Macaca fascicularis: one gene and its partners. The protein of the gene in region 1 purifies or fractionates together with the protein of each later gene. This does not show direct contact. Links are inferred from orthologs where the notes say so. Each region holds a gene or a part of one and is shown in the gene's direction. Other genes may lie near its edges.

Region 1 (5,473 bases):
TTCCTTCATTCAACCTACCATGTTTCCACTCCCATTCCTTCTCAATACTAGAATTAGCTTTTAAAAACAACCACACGACTTAAAAACCTCTACTCACTTATTACAGACCACGGGATAAAGTCCAAACTCCAGGTGCTGTGCATGAGGCCCTTCTCATACTGACTCGGTTTCATTTCATTCTCCAGTTTCATTTTTCATCCTGTCCCTACTACATGCCACAAGCTTGAAGGCCACACGCTTCAGTATTAAAAATGCAGATCCTTAGGTCCTACTCAGATCTACAAAATTAGAATCTTTTGGAGGTGGGACCCAGGAAACTTTTTTTTTTTTTTTTTTTTTTTTTTTTTTTTTTTTTTTTTTTTGAGACGGAGTCTTGCTCTGTCGCCAGGCTGGAGTGAGTGCAGTGGCGCGATCTTGGCTCACTGCAACCTCCACCCACTAGGTTCAAGCGATTCCCCTGTGTCAGCCTCCTGAGTGGCTGAGACTACAGGCGCGCGCCATCACGCCCGGCTAATTTTTTGTATTTTAGTAGAAACGGGGTTTCACCATGTTGGCTAGGATGGTCTTGATCTCCTCATCTCGCGATCCGCCCGCCTTGGCCTCCCAAAGTGCTGAGATTACAGGCATGAGCCACTGCTCCCGGCCAGAATCTGCATTTTAACAAGCAAACCAGATATTCTTACCCAAATTGAAGCTTGAGAGTCACTCACTTGCCTTGATACTCTCAGCACATTGGTATACCTTTGTGAGAGCTTCTCAAATAATTAAACATGTCAGGGCATACATCATAATTTTCAGGCTAGAAAATGTCACGGCTATTATCTAAAGAAGAAGGAGTTCCTCCCAAAGAGGAGGGTCTGATCTTCCCCTAGAAAAAACTGCATAGGTGTAGAAAAAAGACTGTAATTCCACTGGCTCAGGGTGGAAGGAGAATAAAGCCTCGGGCGCTCTCATGTGTCTGTAAGAACTTCAATCCTTCTTTCATGGTTTATTTCCAAATGTCCTTTGCTCATGTTTCACTAAATATCTGCACTCCCACCAAGAACTGAGGCAGCCCGAGATGCGAGGTACCTCCCACCTCTGGACCCTATCTAGACCGCTGGGTTCCACTCTCCCCAGTTAAGACACAATGCTCCAGGAAGCCTCCCCTAATTCTAGGTCATAATGTATCACTTCACCCCTCGCACTCCCATCCAACTTCACTTACGTGATTTTCTCATGTATTTGGGATGTAACTCAAACGTCCTCAAGTCCCACAGCCTGTGGGTGCAAATGCAGTCATGTTAGCGATAATACCTGAATTATTATCTTGGTATCCTTTTTGCCCCAGGAACTCCACGGCTGTCTTCTTGTTACTGGCTCCAAAGCTAACAGTAAAACCCCTTCACACAAATCGTCCTTTGGCTACAGACCTCAAGGTCCGTGCCATCTCCGCAGGAACCCTCGTGGGGTTGGCGTGCACAGTCCCCTCCGCTGCGCGTGCATCCCTCTCCGCTGACAGCCACTGCTTTGAACTCCAGAGGTGTTAAATGGCTTGGGAACATAATTTCAAAATTGACAGTTGGATAAATACCAGAATAAGCACCAGAAGATGACAGCGGAACCAAGGCTCGAGATGGGCCGGCTGACACCACTGGGCGCTGAACCTGGCTGGAAGCTTCCTGGCAGCGACAGCGAAAAGGGAACACCTGTCGTGGGGGCCCTTGTTTCATGTCAGTAAGAAGTAGAGCAACTGCTAGACGCGCTCCAGAAAACCCTGGACGCACTTGATACATCCCAACCAGCAAGCTCAAGTACCCTGCGAACCTGGGCGCCCGCCACCCCCAGGGCAGGCAGCGAGGAGGTCTTCAAGGGGTAAAGCGACCCCTGTGGGGCCAGCGCCCGTCCTCTCTCCTGCTATCCGCGGGCACCCGGGCACGCTACGACTCGGCTGAATTAGGGCGTCCTGCAGCTCCCGGGGCGAGGAGGAGCTCGGCCTTTCTGTTCTGCCCTCAGAAGGGAGAGGAGAGGTGGTCCTGGAGTGGGAGTCAGTTCAGGCTGCGGGCTGTGCCACGCGCGGAGGTCCGGGGACCCCACCCCCGCCTCCCCGAGGCCCGCCCCGCCCCTTACGACCCGACCCTGCAATCCCTCTGCGCGGGCTTCCGGCCGCGGCGACCCCGGCCCGCGCTGTTGCGCTAGCTAGTTCGCTGCCAGAGGTCTCGAGGGCGGTGGGGCGGGGCGGGGCTTCGGCGGCGGGGGCGGGGCCTCCAGCGGGCGGGCGGGGTTTTGGCGCCGCGAGGTGGCGGCAGCAGAGCGGCGCAGAAGGGAGGGGGCGGCTGGCCGCGCGGAAGGAGTGAGTCACCTGACCGCTGCCCTCGCCGCCCGCCAGGCGCTCTCGCTGCAGTCAGTCGGGCCGCGCCGCGCCTCAGCTCCGGTGAGTGGCTCGGCAGTCCCGCCGGCCCTTCTCCGGGAGGGTTGGCGCGGTCAGGGCCGCGGGCCTGTGAGGGGAGGCCCGCGGACAGGTCCGGGGGAGGCGCGGGCGGGCCGGGGGCGGCTCTTTCTGGGCTGGGCGGGGCGCGGGGGGCGCGTAGCGGGGCTCGCTGGGGGCGCTGGCGGCCGGGATTCTGGAAGTGGCCGCGACGCCGGAAGGGGCGTCCCGTCGGCGCCCGAACCCCCTGCACGGCAGGAGCTGTTGTTTACCCGCGCGCGCCGTACTTTACCCGGGGCGGGCGGGGACTAGGGGCCGCGGGGTCCCTGCCCCACCCCCGCTCCCCGCCCTCGGGCGCCAGCCCAGCCCCTCGCCCGCGGCCCGCCCGGTCTGTGACACATCAGCACCGCCCTCGCGGCTGGGGCCCCGTATTGTCCTCCGCCGCCTCCCACCGCTATGCCCAGCCTCGCGTCTACTCAGCCTGGTGCCTGTCGCGCGTGGAATCGCGTAAGAAAAGCCGAGTTTGTGCCTGGGGAGAGAAGGCCACCGTGCTGAGATGGATTTAGCGAAGACTGGTTTTGGGGACCGGAGATCCCAGGACTCCCTTTGTTGGAGTTTTGCCCACGCGTTGTAATTAAGCCTCGCACAATATGGTGAGAGTGGGCGTTGATTCTGGAGACACCAGCTTTGTGCTCGTGTAATGTAACACGAGTGCCGTTGCTTCCTCATTCTTACACGGCAGTTTCATGTCATTGAGTAGAATTGTGCGGAATGCTTTTATGGAGTGAGGCTTCTGCGTTAAACTTGTTTTGATTCCAGGTAAAGTGTAGTAGTAATTGTGAAAGAACGTGTATGGGGAAAACGAGCTACAGTGTCAGGCTTGGAGGAACAAAGAATGTTTTGTAGGATGCTTTGCTTTTTGGAAAATTGTATAGGGGTATGGACTGTTACCCATGGAGGATGCTATGGGAATTTGGTCACATATTTGAACACACTTTACATCAGAGGGTTTGTATTGAATGCAGTTCAGAAGGATAAAGGGTGGAAATCCCAGATGTGTTAGTGGCAGAGCACTTGAGCGCTTCACATAGCCAAGCAGAGAAATGGGAAGAGGCTTGCTTCTTCCTGGTCTTTGGGTAGTGGTGCAAGGGCTGGGCTGGGCTTGGCTTGAAGGCACTTGCCACTTCTGCCTTTGGACATCTTAAGGAAGGTTAGGGAAGAAAGGCTCCTGGTGAGTCAGCTTGGAGTAGGGTGGCTTTGGTGTAGTGAATCTTGTATTGCTGTTTAACCTATGGTTCTGTCAAGTGGTTTACTATTGTTCAGTATGTTGGTTGATTAACAAGGTAGGATGACTCTTTAAAAAGTTGGGTTGCTGAGTCATTCGCCCCAGCTTGAGAGGTAATTAGAAACAGCTGGTGCAGATACTCATCACATGCCTCCACTATAAAAGGCCAAGGAGCGCTCTAGAGGGGTTGCTTCAGAAGGCTGAAGGGGACCCAGCTGGGGTTGTTTTGATCCAGCTTATCGGTGGGTGAAGTGGAAGAGCACTCTTAGGCAGTGGCCAATAGCACTGAGGCGGTGTTTAAACCCAGAGTCTCGTGACCTGCTGTCTGAGAAGAAATTTGCGCTGGAGAGAGCTGAAACTGGGGAAGAAATTTGCAGCTAGGGGTAACCCAATAAAAAATATTGTAACAAAAATATTTGCTACTCTTACTGGACTTAGTTTCCTTTTTGTGGTTTTTGTTACGTGGTCTATAAATTTCAAGCAGTGAGCTTAATTTGTGCTTCATAAAAATTTGGTTATGAGTACACAGAGGGGACTTGCTGTTTCTCAAGACCCTTGGCTTTTCATGCATACACAAGAAGTTTCAGGAGTCAGAGGAGGGTAAGCACAGTATGGGTGGAATTAACAGGTCTCATTGGGTCAAGTCTGGAAAGAGCTGTTTAATGAATGGCCAACCATAAATACCTGTCTCATTGTCTTGATTGTGTGACACTACTGCCTTTACACCTGGTGTCATTGCTTCTTGCTTTAAAAAGGAGCACACAGCCCAAATATTTATGAATCCTCATTGCAAACAAAGTTTAGGAATGGGCAATGTAGAGCTGGGAATTTGACCCTTTGGTGGAAAAAATGATGATTCCTATTAATGATAGTTCATTTAAAACATTTTATATTAGGAAAAACTTTTTTATATATAAATTTTTATATTTGTTCCTTTATGTCTGGGACTAGAGGAGATTAGAAATCATGAATATTGTAAGTATTAGGGCCTCTAAGGTGGGGTACAAGGAGTTTCATGTGGAAACACTATATTAAAACTTTTAAAACCTTCTATTTAATATAAGAAAGACATTAAACTTAAAAATACAGACTAACAATAGCGCATTCATATTATATAATGCGCGTGCATGCCCTCCACCCGTTTGTTGTTGGGGGAACATAGCCTGTTAACCACTGTCAATAACATTCTTTCAGCAACCGGAATGCTTGTTCTTTTATGGTTTCCTCCTAAGAGTTCTTTCAGACTGTCCTTAATATTCCATTTAAGTTTTATTTTATAGGTAGTTATCTTGTCTGTATATTTTACTTTAAAGATTAGAAGTTTGAGTGTAAACTTCTTGTTACATTGTTGATATTGGGGATGGAAATACAAAAAATACAGAATTTCATTTGGTAACCTGTATTTTGAATTTGGAGACAAGCTCACTGGTTGGTTTGTTTAAATGTTTGTTATCTGAAGTGCAGTGAAATGTAAAAAGGTGCAATGGAAATACTCGAAGATGATCCACACATTGGAGTGTAGTATGTATATAGAGTGTAATATGTATATCACACATTCTGTAAAAATTACTTTGTACTGTCACTCCTCGAAGTCTTGTTTTTTTTGTATTTTTTTTGGCCAAGCTTACACTTGCTTAATGAAGATTAATAAGACGACAGATTCAGTGAATCCCTTGGAAAGTAGCATTTATTCTGAATATCAACCTCCTGCTAGTGCTGGTGGCGGGTGGCGGCAGTGAGGGTGGTATTTACCGTTCAGTTAAATCTCATGTGCCATGTGG
Region 2 (4,751 bases), about 17 Mb from region 1:
AAACCGAACAAGACATTAAAGGTAAGGCTGGCTCCAGGCAGGCCCCGTCTCAAGCACAGGTGTGGGAAAGGCCCCCCCATTCCCAGGGCCGTCCTGAGCCTGTGATGGAGGCCTCCCTGTTGGCAGGAGAAGGGGCTGCTGTGGCCGGGGGATGTTCACAGGAGAGGTGGGGCCAGGATCGGGGACTGTGGTTCCAGGAGATGACTCCCAGGCTCAGGGTGTGGCAGGGTCTGTCCGCCTGGGCTGTGTGTCCGCCAGGCGCTACTGCATGAGCTCACCCCCCGACTCCAGGCGTGGGCAGACTGGCCTCTGGTGAATGGGATGCTCCAGCTCCTAGGGCCTGGGCCCACCTGTGCCTGGCGCTTGCCGCCTCTGCCATGGGGCATGCCTGTGGGCTGGCTCAGTCCCAGCAGCAGGACCCATGTGCTCCAGGTCCTCGTGGGCTCTGAGGCTGTCGGTAACCAGGAGTGACCGATGTCACCGCTGGCTTCTCCTGTTCAGAAAGGGTCCTGTGGGGCCACAGCCGTCACGTGGGCTGCCTGTGTGCATGGTGTCCTGTGGTCCCTGATGCGGACGGCAAAGGCCAGCCCCAAAAGAGCATGGGCATGCAGGGGCACCGCTGGGTCCCTGTCCACCCCCGTGCCGGTCCCAGGCAGACACCCCACGTTCTCCCGCTGCTGACCCCATGCTGTGGCCGTCCCCAGGTCAAGAAGGAGGCGGGCGAGAACGCTCCGGTGCTCAGCGACGATGAGCTGGTGTCCATGTCGGTGCGGGAGCTGAACCAGCACCTGCGGGGTCTCACCAAGGAGGAGGTCACCCGCCTGAAGCAGCGTCGGCGCACGCTCAAGAACCGCGGCTACGCGGCCAGCTGCCGCATCAAGCGGGTGACGCAGAAGGAGGAGCTGGAGCGGCAGCGCGTGGAGCTGCAGCAGGAGGTGGAGAAGCTGGCGCGTGAGAACAGCAGCATGCGGCTGGAGCTGGACGCCCTGCGCTCCAAGTACGAGGCGCTGCAGACCTTCGCGCGCACCGTGGCCCGGGGACCCGTGGTGCCCTCCAAGGTGGCCACCACCAGCGTCATCACCATCGTCAAGTCCGCTGAGCTCTCCTCCACCTCCGTGCCCTTCTCGGCCGCATCCTAGTGCCGGCTGGGGGCGGGGAGCGGCAGGCAGGCGGGCAGGGGCGCGCCCCTCATACCTGTCACTGGGACGCAGACTCTCGACATCCGAGTCCAAGCGCAGGCCCCTCAGGCGCGGGCGACTCACACCAGGATGAGACTGTGGTGCAGGGTGAAGAGTGGGCTCCCGTGGGCCCAGAGCTGCGTGCCGGTCCACACACACGCCCGCCCCCTGCTCCCCACAGGATGCGTCTGTGTGTGGGAATTGGCATCTTGCACCCGTGGGAGTCGGGACATATAACAGAAAGGCCCTCGGGAAGTTCCGCCGCCCCCGCGGGGGCTGCCAGAAGACACGGCCCCAGGAGTTAGGCCCCTGTGGTCAGGTCAGCGTGGGGCTTGTTTTCCACTGCAGCTGGGAGCAGCCTTCGACACCTGCCCTGCTGTGGCCTCCCAGCTGGTGCGGGAGCCCCTCGCTGCCCTGACCGACTCCGCAGACCCTGGGAGGAGCATGGATGGTGCGTCGGCAGCTCCGTCCTTCCAGCTGTCCTGTTGCAGTTGCCTGTGACCCGTGTCTGCCTTAGCAGGGGCTTGTGCAAGTGTGCGCGGTGTGGGAGGCCGCCTGCGTGGGGTGGTGTCTGTGTGTGTGCACGTGTGTGTGTGCAGGCCCGTCTGCCATCACAGCACCAGGGCTGAGGGGGCAGGTGTTCACTGGAGGAGGGCCTGTGGGCACGTGTGGCAGAGAGAGTGGCTCATACGTTGTGAGGTCTCCCGTGTGCTCTGGTGACCCGAGGAGGTCGTGCAGCACAGCACAGAAGCCCCACCCACGGGAGCCGGCCCCCCAGACACCGACCCCGCAGGCCATCCTGGACCTCAGCGGACACGGACAGGAGCGTCCCATCATTTGATGGTGAGCAGGACTCAGGCTCTGTGTCCTGGAGCTGCTTCTCACCAGCTGTGGTCAGTGCAGGGGGAACGAGGAGGTCTTTTGGGGGCCTAGAGGGGAAGGGCCGCTGCAGTCTAGGGAGAGGGGGTGCAGCTTGGGGGACGTTGGTAGATGTGGACGTGGAGGTGGGAGGGAGAGGACGTTGCATTGGGTGGTGGGAGGAGGCGGGAGCCGTGTGCGAGAGCTGGTGGAAAGGCTTGAGGGGCAGGACCAGGATGCGGCTGGCTTATACAAGAGCTCAGGAGTGAGGCTGGCACTCCAGAGGGCGTGGTGGGTGGGGAGGCGGCAGGCACCAGGCCAGGAGAGCCTCGTGGATGTGGCTCTCACGTGCACACCCCCAGGAGCACAGCCACGAGCTGCAGGTGTGGCCTTGGCACTCAGTCCTCGCCCGGAGCCTTCGCCTGTTCCTCCTTCCCCGAGCACCGAGGCACTGGTGGGCTTGGCACTCCACCTTGGGCTTCCTTTTCCTGGAGTGCCACCTTGAGGGTCCCTGCTGTGACTGGGGTATCTGCATCGGGGGTCGTAGAGCCCCTGCCTGGGGGAGCTGGCGGAATGTGAGCCACTGGCTGGGGGCCGCCACCTAGGACATGCAAGGTGGTGCCTCGGCTCCCTCTCGGCTGCCCCTGCCCATCCAGTAACACCCCCACCGGCTACAGAGCCCAGGCTGGTGCCAGCCACGCTGGGAGGGCGGAGGACAGACAGCCCCGGGGCGGCGACTTGGTTCTGTGTCTACTGTTAGAAGTGAGTGGGAAGCTGCAGGCCCGCCAGGACCACTGGGTCCCTGTGGAGCAAAGGCCTGCGAGTTCCCAAACAGCCGTTGCCCCCGTGGCCATGGTAGGTAATCCATATTGGATGTCATAAGGACCAGGGGGATATTTAAAGAGAGAAACAAACTATATAGAGATATAAAATTATATTCACAGTTTATCTACAGATTTTTCGTAACAATCTTTCTTTTCCAGTTTGATACTGTAAATCTATCAGAGCAGAGCTTGGGGGCACGGGCACAGGTGGGAGTTGGGAGCAAACCAGAGGCCCGGGCTGCCCACCGTCCCCCTCACCACGGACTGCACCAGGCTGCTGGGCCCCCACAGGACAGGCTGCAGCGGGTGGCCGGTTCTGTCCCATTTTGGGGTTCTTGGTGTCCACGTCTTATGGGCCGTGGGCGACCACCTGCCCTCGGCCTGTGGTGCTTTGCCGGAGAGGGGACTCCCCGGCCCCCAGGGTGGACGGAGCCGCTGTCACCGCCCAGAGCCGGGCCGGGGAAGCACGGCGCGTTCTGCTTTTCTTTTCGGATCGTTGAAATTTCATTGTCATGATTTAATATATGGATTTTTTTATTTAAGAAAAAGACGAAGGCCTCTTTGCCGCGTGGGTTTGTTTTCTGTCTCTGTGCCTCTGGCTTCCCAAAGAGATCCAGGTCTTTGCGTTTCCAGGGCGTGGGGACCCCTGCCCCCCACGCCCCCACACCGCCTCACCCTGGCCTCTGTGCTACTTGGCAGTTCCATTTCAATATTTATTTTTGTGCTGCTTTTTATCATGATATAAATTATTGAGAACAGATCACATGCGGGCCCGTGTCTGGCCGCCGCCGCCCTGCCCCGTCCCTGCGGCCACCACCTAATTTATTGCCGTGCGTCCTGCTGCTGTGACCGCTTTTGTACCTTTGCAATAAAGAATTTTCTGGTTTCAGACTCTTTCGTTGTGCAGTTGGTGCTTTTGGCTGGGGCTTTTTTGGGCTAAGAACCACACACCCCCCATCCCAGGGGACCCCGCCTGTCCCTCACCAGGGTCAGGATCTGGGCACCATGTGTAAGTGGCTTTCACAGACTGCTGGCCCGTGACCGTGATGCTGGGACAGCCACGGGGGAGGTGCTGGTTAGGTGGCCACGTCCCGGGCTCAGTCTCCGAGGGTCAGGCCGCAGTCCTGAGTGTCGCCATCTGCCCCACCCACAGCCCCCTGTCCATGCAGCCTCTCCCAGTGGAAGGAGCAGAGAGCACCATGGCTGTCAGTGTCCCCCTTCCCCAGGAGATCCCTCACCCAGCTCTGCTGGACTCTCAGAGGAGCCTGCAGGAAGCCGTGAGCAAGACAGGGTCTGTCTGGGAGCAGAGAGCAAAGCGGCCCTGCACAGTGGCTGGAAGCCTGTGGACTCCTCTGAAAAGCCAAGGGCCTGCCCACATGCCGTCGCCGCTCCGCCTGGCCTTCCAGGAGAGCAGCCCCGGCACACCCGGCCCCATTTTTGGGGCTGAGCTGACCGAAGGGTGAATGCCGTTCAGTGCTGGACCACGCAGGGTGAAATCCAAGCTGGATTTTTTTGAGACATCTTGCTCTGTCACCCAGGCTGGAGTGCTCGTGATCACGGCTCACTGCAGCCTCAACCTCCCGGGCTCAAGCAATCCTCCCATCTCAGCCTCCTGAGTAGCTGGGACCGCCGGCATACACCACCACGCCCAGCTAATTTTTGTATGTTTTTGGAGAGATGGTGTTTTACCATGTTGCCCAGGCTGGTCTCAGACTCCTGGGCTCAAGCAATCCACTCGCCTTGGCCTCTCCAAGTGCTGGAATTACAGGCATGAGCCATGGCACCTGATCATAATCCCACCTCTCAGCATCTGTGTGGCCTGGGGCCAGTTCCCTCCTTCCCAGCCTTGCTTCCTGTGAGGTGGGCGTGGAGGTGACTGCAGCAGCCGGCA
Region 3 (5,451 bases), on another chromosome or scaffold:
TGACACCTTTTTAAACAATACTCTCATTGCTCAGAATAAAATTTGAACTTTCTTCACCAAAGAGGCTGTTGGAAAAAACAAATATGAACTCTTTTTCTTGGAATTTCCTTTTGTAAGAAGTTTATTTAAAAAAAAAATTTTTTTTTTTAACCCAAATAAAACCCAAGTAGGATTTATCTATATTAACTAAACTTAACTACAAATGGTTTTTGGCTGTTCTAAAATATAAAAACTACACTCTTCAAATGAAATTGATGACGATGATAGCTTCCATTTGTTGAGGACGTTTTATAATCTTGGTGTTGGATAGGTGTTTTATTTACATTATCTCATTGAAGGCTTTCTTTTTTTTTTTTTTTTTTTTTTTTTTTTTTGAGATGGAGTCTTGCTCTGTTGCTCAGGCTAGAGTGCAGTGGCGCCATCTTAGCTCACTGCAACCTCTGCCTCTCAGGAGTGATTCCTGTGCCTCAGCCTCCCGAGTAGTTGGGACTACAGGCATGCCACCATGCCTGGCTACTTTTTGTATTTTTAGTAGAGATAGTGTTTCACCGTGTTGGCCAGGATGGTCTCAGACTCCCGACCTCAGGTGATCTGCTGGCCTTGGCCTTCCACAGTGCTGGGCTTACAGGTGTGAGCCACTGTGCCCAGCCTCATTGAAGGCTTTCAAAAGAATCTTCCTTCTCAGGCTTTGAAGGCAGTTTTCAGGGGGACTTTGCATTAGCCAGATTTTTGGTTACAGGAGACAGAGTTGACTGTGTTTTATGATCTCTATTTGAAACCTATTCCGGTACAAATACCACCATTAGTGGGGTGATGGCGAGTGTCAGCTAACTCTCAAACGTACTGACTTGAAGAACTTGGAAGGAAGCATAGGAAGTTACAGTTGGTTTTCAGTTCACCTTGACCTAAGACCCACACACTGATCAGAACACTGTCTCCTGATTCTGATGTTTTCGAGTTGATTTTTGTTCTTAGGTAGGCTCTCCCTTTAAAGTCAACAATCCTGGCTTTCTTTTTTTTTTTTTTTTTTTTGAGACAGAGTCTTGCTTTGTTGCCCAGGCTGGAGTGCAGTTGTGCGATCTCGGTGCTCTGCCGGCTCCGCCTCCTGGGTTCACGCCATTCTCCTGCCTCAGCCTCCTGAGTAGCTAGGACTACAGGTGCCCGCCACCACACCCAGCTAATTTTTTTTTTTGTATTTTTAGTAGAGACGGGGTTTCACTCTGTTAGCCAGGATGGTCTCGATCTCCTGACCTCATGATCCACCTGCCTCGGCCTCCCAAAGTGCTAGGATTACAGGCGTGAGCCACCGCACCCGGCCAGATCCTGGCTTTCTTACATGGTCTTTAGTCGCTGTCTCCCAAAGGGTGAAACACTTTCACTCAGAATTGCTATCAATCCCTTCTGTCAGAATCCATTTGACAAAGAAAAAAGAAATCTCTAAAAAATTACTTGGCTCGGGTGGGATTACATGCCCAACCTGAATGAATCCCTGCATCCGAGGGAATAGGATACTCTGGCCAGTCTGGACCATATGCCTGCCCCTATTGTGGTTGGAGAGAGTATGATAATGAAAGCTTTCTGGGGTACAGGTGGGTGTGAGTTCTGCTAGCAGACAAGGGAGGCGGGGAAGGGACACTGGACAGGCAAGGGCACATGGCCACTAATCAGCTCTAACATGTTTTGAGCCATGGTGTTTTGTGAAAATGGCAGCATAGCCCCATGACTGTGGGTCCTCCACTGTTAGGAAGACTGCTTCAACAGCCACAAGGACAAGCTTGAGGGCAGGAAGGCATGTTACCACTCAAACAGTAGCAAGGAGCAGGGCATTAGCAATTCATAGGGCCTGGGGCCTGATATGGGGTCCATTAGTAGCTCCCCACTGTGATAATCCCTTTATCTGGTTTCCGTACCTTTAAAATGGGGGTGCTGGCCTAGTTTTCTTACCTTACAATGGGGATGCTGGCCTAAATACTTACAAGCCCTACTTTTTATTTTTAATTAATTAATTAATTTATTTATTTTTTGAGACGGAGTCTCACTCTGTCATAGAGTGTGCAGTGTCATGACCTCGGCTCACCGCAACCTCTGCCTCCCGGGTTCAAGCAATTCTCCTACCTCAGCCTCCTGAGTAGCTAGGATTACAGGCATGCACCACCATGCCTGGCTAATTTTTTGTGTGTTTTTACTGGAGACAGGGTTTCCCCATGTTGACCAGGTTGGTCTTGAACTTCTGACCTCAAGGGATCTGCCCACTTTGGCCTCTCAAAGTGCTGGGATTACAATCGTGAGCCACCGCGCCTGGCCCCCTTTCTAGTTTTTAAAAACTCTGAGGCAAGGACCAGGTGAGGTGGCTCATGCCTGTAATCCTAGCACTTTGGAAGGCTGAGGTGGGAGGACTGCTTGAGCCCAGGAGTTCAAGACCAGTCTGAGCAATATAGCAAGACCCCATCTCAAAAAAAACAAAACAAAACAAAAAAAACCCTCTGAGGCTGAGCATTTAGTGTGTTTGTTAAACAGCTGGCCTTTTTACTTTTATGGTAACACACATATGTGTTATATATATGTTAAGGCTAGTTAAATGCATGCAAATGTTAGGTATTGTATCACCAAAGTTGTGACCCTTATGTGGTAAGATACCTGTGCTATATTATTCAGATGGACAGTGAGTAAACCAAAATTGCTCATCCTTACCAGCTGCTGTTTGTTTCTTTTTAATCCTTAAGTTTTACATGGACAGATGGCAAATTAAACAGCAGTAACTTGGTAATTCTGTCTGGCCAAGTGGTTGAACACTTTGATCTGGAGTTCCGAATCCTGTATGCCCAGTCCAAGCCCATCAGTCCCAAACTCCTGTCTCACTTCCAGAGCAGCAACAAGTTTGATCACCTCACCGACCGAAAACCACAGTCTAAGGAGCTCACCCTAGGCAACCTGCTGCGGATGCGGCTGGCTAGGCTCTCCAGTACTCCCAGGAAGGCGGACCTGGACCCAGAGATGCCCGCAGAGGGCAAGGCAGAGCGCAAGCCCCATGACTGTGAGTCCTCCACTGTTAGTGAGGAAGACTACTTCAACAGCCACAGGGACGAGCTCCAGAGCAGAAAGGCCATTGACGCTGCCACTCAAACAGAGCCAGGAGAGGAGATGCCAAGGCTGAGTGTGAGTGAGGTGGGAACACAAACCAGCATCACCACAGCGTGTGCTGGGACCCAGACTGCAGTCACCACCAGGATAGCAAGCTCTCAAACCATGGTTTGGTCCAGGTCAACCACCACTCAGACTGACATGGATGAGAACATTCTCTTTCCTCAAGGAACTCAATCTACGGAAGGGTCACCAGTCTCAAAAATGTCTGTATCAAGATCTTCCAGTTTGAAGTCTTCCTCCTCTGTGTCTTCCCAAGGCTCTGTGGCAAGCTCCACTGGCTCTCCTGCTTCCATCAGAGCCACTGACTTCCACAATCCTGGCTATCCTAAGTACCTGGGCACCCCCCACATGGAACTGTACTTGAGTGACTCACTTAGAAACTTGAACAAAGAGCGGCAATTCCACTTCGCTGGTATCAGGTCCCGGCTCAACCACATGCTGGCTATGCTGTCAAGGAGAACACTCTTTACTGAAAACCACTTTGGCCTTCATTCTGGCAATTTCAGCAGAGTTAATTTGCTTGCTATTAGAGATGCAGCACTTTATCCTTCCTATCAGTAACTACTCCGTATTCAGACTCCTGGTTTCTTCCAGGCTTACAGTGGACATCATCAGCTTCCTGCTTTAAAAAATATCTTACGTCCCTAATTGCCTTTCTTTTACCTGACTTTGTCACCTTTGTTGTCTTTGAATTCTATAGGCTGCATATTCTTTTACGTGCTTTGTTTTGTTTTTGTCATGTATGTACCAGGTATTGGTTTTACGGTTTAAACACTATGGATACAGGTTTATTTTTTTTTCTTGTTTTTTTTTTTTTTGCACAATTTTAATAGTCATGCACTACATAATGATGTTTCGGTCAATGACAGACCACGTATATGATGGCAGTCCCGTAAGATTATAATACCGTATTTTTACTATACCTTTTCTATGTTTAGATACAAATACCATTATGTTACAGTTGCCTACAGTATTCAGTGCAGTAACATGATGTACACGTTTGTAGTCCAGGAGCAACTGGCTATACCATATAGTCTAGGTGTGTAGTAGTTATACCATCTAGGGTTCCGTAAGTACACTCTGTGCTGTTTGCACAAGGACGAAGTCACCTAACAACACATTTCACAGAATGTATCCCTATCATTGGGCAACACGTGACTGTATTAATCTCTTAAGGAGAATGCTTAGGTGTTTAAGTCTAACTCAGGTGAGAGATGAAATATGTTTTGCATTTTTCTCAGGTTATATGCTTTTCCGCTTTAAAGGTTTGAATTATCAGCATTTTTGTAATCAAAATCCTATTTAGAAAAAATAAAACTACTTTTTATCTCTTTAGAATATCTGTGTTCTTAGCATTAAATAAATATAAACTTGTGTTTTTGTACTTTTTTCCCCCTTCTCTGACACTTTTCTCTTTAAATCTGGGAATATGTCACAAATAAATGCATCTAATAGATAAAGGTATATAGGTATCTATATCTGAAGGTTTTTAACATAGTGTCAGGGTGAGGAAGAAATAGATGATCCAAACTATAGAAGGGAAAATAGATCCACTTAACCTTCATTAGCATCATGAATGTTGATGTTACCGTATAGTTTGAGTGAGGAAACTGGCCAGAAATAGCAGGCCTTTGCACATGCTCTGCCTTTTCTCTTTTTGAAGAAGAAACCTGAGCTATTTCGGTAGGTCCTTGGCACGTTGGTACTCTGCTTGTCTACCAAAGGAGGCCTTAGTGTATGTTCCTATATTCATTCCCAATATTAACTCTGGTGGCCCCATGGGCCTCATTTCATCAGTTGGGTGTATTGACAGTGATTTACAATCTAATATCCTAGAGTAGGGGCAAAAGAGGACACTGACAATTATCCAGGTTTCCTGGTCCAGTGGCAGGCAATGTAACTGGTTTCTACACCCTGCTAATCAGGATTGGTATGGCTGTGGAATCCTGTTTTTGTCTCATTCTCATGGACAGACAAAAGGGAAGGGAGTTAAATGATGGCTTCCTCCCTCTCCTGACTTAGCTACAGCAAACAAGATCTACAGCAGGGGAAGGCATCTGCCACATAAACTGCTGATGCACTTGGATCATGAGTGCCCCTACACTCACGCCTATGCCAGGACTCCCTTTTGGTGGTCAGGTTATTTACTGGGTTAGTGCTGTAATCTGTGGCTGTAAAGCAAATGTAAGGAAATTGATCCATGTCTGCTTAGAAACAACTCTGAGCTAAGCCTCGAGTAAACATATTGTTACTTGAAATCATCTTGCAGACTTAGGTCACTTCATATGTGTCATCTTTGATCTTTGC
Region 4 (3,654 bases), on another chromosome or scaffold:
CCTGCCTCAGCCTCTCGAATAGCTGGGACTACAGGCGTGCACCACCACACCTGGCTAATTTTTGTATTTTTGGTAGAGATGGAGTTTCGCCATGTTGGCCAGGCTGGTCTCAAACTCCTGAACTCAGGTGATCTGCCCGCCTCAGCCTCCTAAGTGCTGGGATTACAGGCTTGAGCCACTGCACCCAGCCTATCTTCCTTCATTTTCCTTGGCTTCTTATTACTGCCCCCTCCCCTTGGAGACAGATGAGAAAACTCACGTTCACAAGGAATGGCGGAGTAGATCCTATCAGCTAGGGACAAAGCAGACTGCTGCTTTATAGGGGCCTTTGGGAGTTGGTCCCCTTCTCCAGCCCAGAGCAATGACCACTGACCCTCCACGAGTTTTATTCACCTTTGTCTCCCCATTACCAACTACATGTTTGGCAAAGAGTAGCTGCTCAATAAATAGTTGTTGAAGGAGCATGCGGCTGTCAGGCGTGTGGGAGGGGGGATTAGGAGATGAGAGGCCCTCAGTGGTCTAGGGATGGCTGCCCCATCTGCCTAGGGCATGCTGAGTTAGTGTGGGGCAGTCCCCAGGCAGCTGGGAAAGCTTTTCCAAAACAGAGGTCTAGATGAAGGAGGCCTGGGGAGAGAGGGGACTGGCTGATATTGTATCTTATGGGGTGCCAGATGGGCTTTGTAAAAAGGCATTTACTGGCAGGGTGCGGTGGTTCAAGCCTGTAATCCCAGCACTTTGGGAGGCCAAGACGGGTGGATCCTCGCACGAGGTCAGGAGATCAAGACCATCCTGGCTAACACGGTGAAACCCCGTCTCTACTAAAAAAATACAAAAAAACTAGCCGGGCGAGGTGGCGGGTGCCTGTAGTCCCAGCTACTTGGGAGGCTAAGGCAGGAGAATGGTGTAAACCCAGGAGGCGGAACTTGCAGTGAGCTGAGATCCGGCCACTGCACTCCAGTCTGGGCGACAGAGCGAGACTCTGTCTCAAAAAAAAAAAAAAAAAAAAAAAAAAAAAAAAAAAAAAAAAAAAGAAGGCATTTACTGGTGCACATATGCTGTGTGTACTTTTCTGAATGTAGGTTATACTTTAAGAAAAGTTCTGAAAAATCAGCTGAGTACGGTGGCTCACACTGTAATCCCAACACTTTGGGAGGCCAAGGTGGGTGTATCACCTGAGGTCAGTAGTTTAAAACCAGCCTGGCCAAATGGCAAAACCCCATCTCTACTAAAAATACAAAAAATTAGCTGGGCATGGTGACAGGCACCTGTAATCCCAGCTACTTGGGAGGCTGAGGCAGGAGAATCACTTGAACCCGGGAGGTGAGCCGAGATCGCACGACTGCATTCCTGCCTGGGCGACAGAGTAAGACTGTGTCAAAAAAAGAAAAAAAGTTCTGAAAAATCAAATCAAAGGCACATGACCAAGCCCCATGTGGAAGAATGGTCAGGAGAGGGACATCTATTCATTTGGTGCACACTTACTGGGCCATCTACTATATACCAAGCACTTATTTAGGCATATTGATGCCATGGTGAGACAGGCAAGGCCTCTGCCTTCATGGGCTTCCGTTTTGGTGGAGGAGGAGTGGGAAGGAGAAACAAATCATAGATGAGGAACCAAGCACAAGAAATGCAGAAGAGGTGACTGTTACAAGGGTTAATAGGCAGGGTTATGTGATGTGACACAAAGAGGCGTTTAGCCGGAATGGTCAAAGAAGATCTCTTGAGGCGGTGACATTGGGCAAACACCTAAATGATGAGGAGTCACCATGGGGAGCTAGAACAGTAAAGAGAACAGCATGTGCACAGCTCCCGAGGCTGGAAAGAGCCATTCAAGGAGGCCTGTGGAGCAATGTGGAGAGAGGAAGGTGGCAGGTATGAATCAGTTCTAAGATAGCAGAGGCCTTGAATGGCAAGGTAGTGAGTTTGGATGTTATTCTAAATGGGAAAACAAAAACAAAACAAGGTGACTTTGACCTCCTTTCTACCCTAGGTCTGCGGCCCAGAAGGCACCTTCTGCAAACATGTCTGTGGATCCCCTATCCAGCAAAGCTCTAAAGGTAAGGAGGCAGCCTCTGTTAACCCATGAAGCCCTCCCTCCCTGCCCATGTAGAGCCTCGTCATCCCAACTTCCCCTTCTTTCCTGGAATCCCCTGGGTGGCTCAGCAGGCACCAGGCCTTCATGATGCCCAAGGGAAGGGCCACAGCCACAGGCTGGAACCAGGAGGCCTGGGCTCTGGTCACGGGCTGCATGTCCCTGGGGTAGGTCACTTCCCTCTCCATCCTCCTTCCCCATCGAGTCAATGCCCCCTGGTGCATTCAAAGGTGCTTTCCGGGCTGGGTTTCTCTGGCTGAGTCCAGGGCTTGGCGCTAGGTTAGAATTCAGGTTGAGCCCGGGGTGGCCTCCTTTTGTGTCCGGATCCTAGTTTGGCCTGGTTTCCCCTTCCCGGATTCCTGCTCCCCTTCAGGGTTTTGGATCAAGTCCAACCACCACCTCGGTGGCTAAGGCAGTGAAAGAGGAACACCGAGGTGTGGAGCGGGGCACCGTCCCCAGTCCCTGGGCCTCAGTTTCCCTATGCCCGCAGATCAAGCGAGAGCTGAGTGAGAACACGCCGCACCTGTCGGACGAGGCGCTGATGGGGCTGTCGGTGCGCGAGCTGAACCGGCACCTGCGCGGGCTCTCGGCCGAGGAGGTGACACGGCTCAAGCAGCGGCGCCGCACACTCAAAAACCGCGGCTACGCCGCCAGCTGCCGCGTGAAGCGCGTGTGCCAAAAGGAGGAGCTGCAGAAGCAGAAGTCGGAGCTGGAGCGCGAGGTGGACAAGCTGGCGCGCGAGAACGCCGCCATGCGCCTGGAGCTCGACGCGCTGCGCGGCAAGTGCGAGGCACTGCAGGGCTTCGCGCGCTCTGTGGCCGCAGCCCGCGGGCCCACCACGCTCGTGGCGCCAGCCAGCGTCATCACCATCGTCAAGTCCACCCCGGGCTCGGGGTCTGGCCCCGCCCCCGGAGCGGACCCCGCCCACGGCCCGGCCTCCTGCTCCTAGTGCCCGCCCCCGCCATGCCCCAGCCACGCCCCTCCGGCTCCAGCTCCCTCCCCAAAGTGCCTGAGCGCCGCCTCTGTGCCCAGGCCCCATTTCTCTGCAGCACTGGCCCCTTGGTGCACACACACTCCCTCCATGGGCCCTGTCTTCCTCTTGCAGCCCCCAAAACTGGGACCGCATGGCCCTGGGAAGGGGAACTTTGGTAGGTTGGGGATGGGACAGAGGTCTGGATCTGGGATCGCCCTTGGCTGAAAGTTTAGCCTTTTTAGATTGAGAGATACAGAGCCGGCTCAGAGAACAGCTGTTGGGGGAGAAGAGGGCACCCCTCATCTTGGAAACTGCTCTGATTGTGCCAATATGTCCTCCAAACCCTCCCAGGATTCAGAGCTAGGTTTGGCTGGCTGTGACTTACAGGCCATCCTGCTGAGAAATTGCACTGAAGAGATGCCTCCACCTCTGGTTTAGGCCTGGGGGTGCCTGACCCTCCGAAACTAAGAGTGGGTAGGAAGACTAGTGAAACCCAGTTCACAGATGGGGAAACAGGCCCGAGGTCACATTTCACTTAGTGGTTGTGCTGGGACCAAAACCTGGGTTTCCTCACTGCTGCCCTAAG

Evidence for each region.
Region 2: the proteins of BACH1 (region 1) and MAFK purify together in Homo sapiens (affinity purification with mass spectrometry; 6 studies listed by BioGRID and IntAct, counting the BioPlex papers as one, with this or other methods). This does not show direct contact. The link is inferred for Macaca fascicularis from reciprocal best matches to the Homo sapiens genes BACH1 and MAFK.
Region 3: the proteins of BACH1 (region 1) and FAM83D purify together in Homo sapiens (co-immunoprecipitation; 3 studies listed by BioGRID and IntAct, counting the BioPlex papers as one, with this or other methods). This does not show direct contact. The link is inferred for Macaca fascicularis from reciprocal best matches to the Homo sapiens genes BACH1 and FAM83D.
Region 4: the proteins of BACH1 (region 1) and MAFF purify together in Homo sapiens (affinity purification with mass spectrometry; 3 studies listed by BioGRID and IntAct, counting the BioPlex papers as one, with this or other methods). This does not show direct contact. The link is inferred for Macaca fascicularis from reciprocal best matches to the Homo sapiens genes BACH1 and MAFF.

Annotation. Positions count from the first base shown.
Region 1 is NC_088377.1:17,737,485-17,742,957, reverse strand, and holds the start of BACH1 (transcription regulator protein BACH1), read left to right. Parts: upstream 1-2,297; 5' UTR 2,298-2,413; intron 2,414-2,835; exon of another isoform or gene 2,836-3,226; intron 3,227-5,473. UniProt on the Homo sapiens protein: Transcriptional regulator that acts as a repressor or activator, depending on the context. Binds to NF-E2 DNA binding sites. Plays important roles in coordinating transcription activation and repression by MAFK.
Region 2 is NC_088377.1:34,989,858-34,994,608, forward strand, and holds the end of MAFK (transcription factor MafK), read left to right. Parts: coding exon 1-21; intron 22-704; coding exon 705-1,139; 3' UTR 1,140-3,754; downstream 3,755-4,751. UniProt on the Homo sapiens protein: Since they lack a putative transactivation domain, the small Mafs behave as transcriptional repressors when they dimerize among themselves.
Region 3 is NC_088384.1:95,075,786-95,081,236, forward strand, and holds the end of FAM83D (protein FAM83D), read left to right. Parts: intron 1-2,723; coding exon 2,724-3,705; 3' UTR 3,706-4,479; downstream 4,480-5,451.
Region 4 is NC_088384.1:13,395,827-13,399,480, reverse strand, and holds part of MAFF (transcription factor MafF), read left to right. Parts: intron 1-1,993; 5' UTR 1,994-2,024; coding exon 2,025-2,060; intron 2,061-2,585; coding exon 2,586-3,044; 3' UTR 3,045-3,654. UniProt on the Homo sapiens protein: Since they lack a putative transactivation domain, the small Mafs behave as transcriptional repressors when they dimerize among themselves.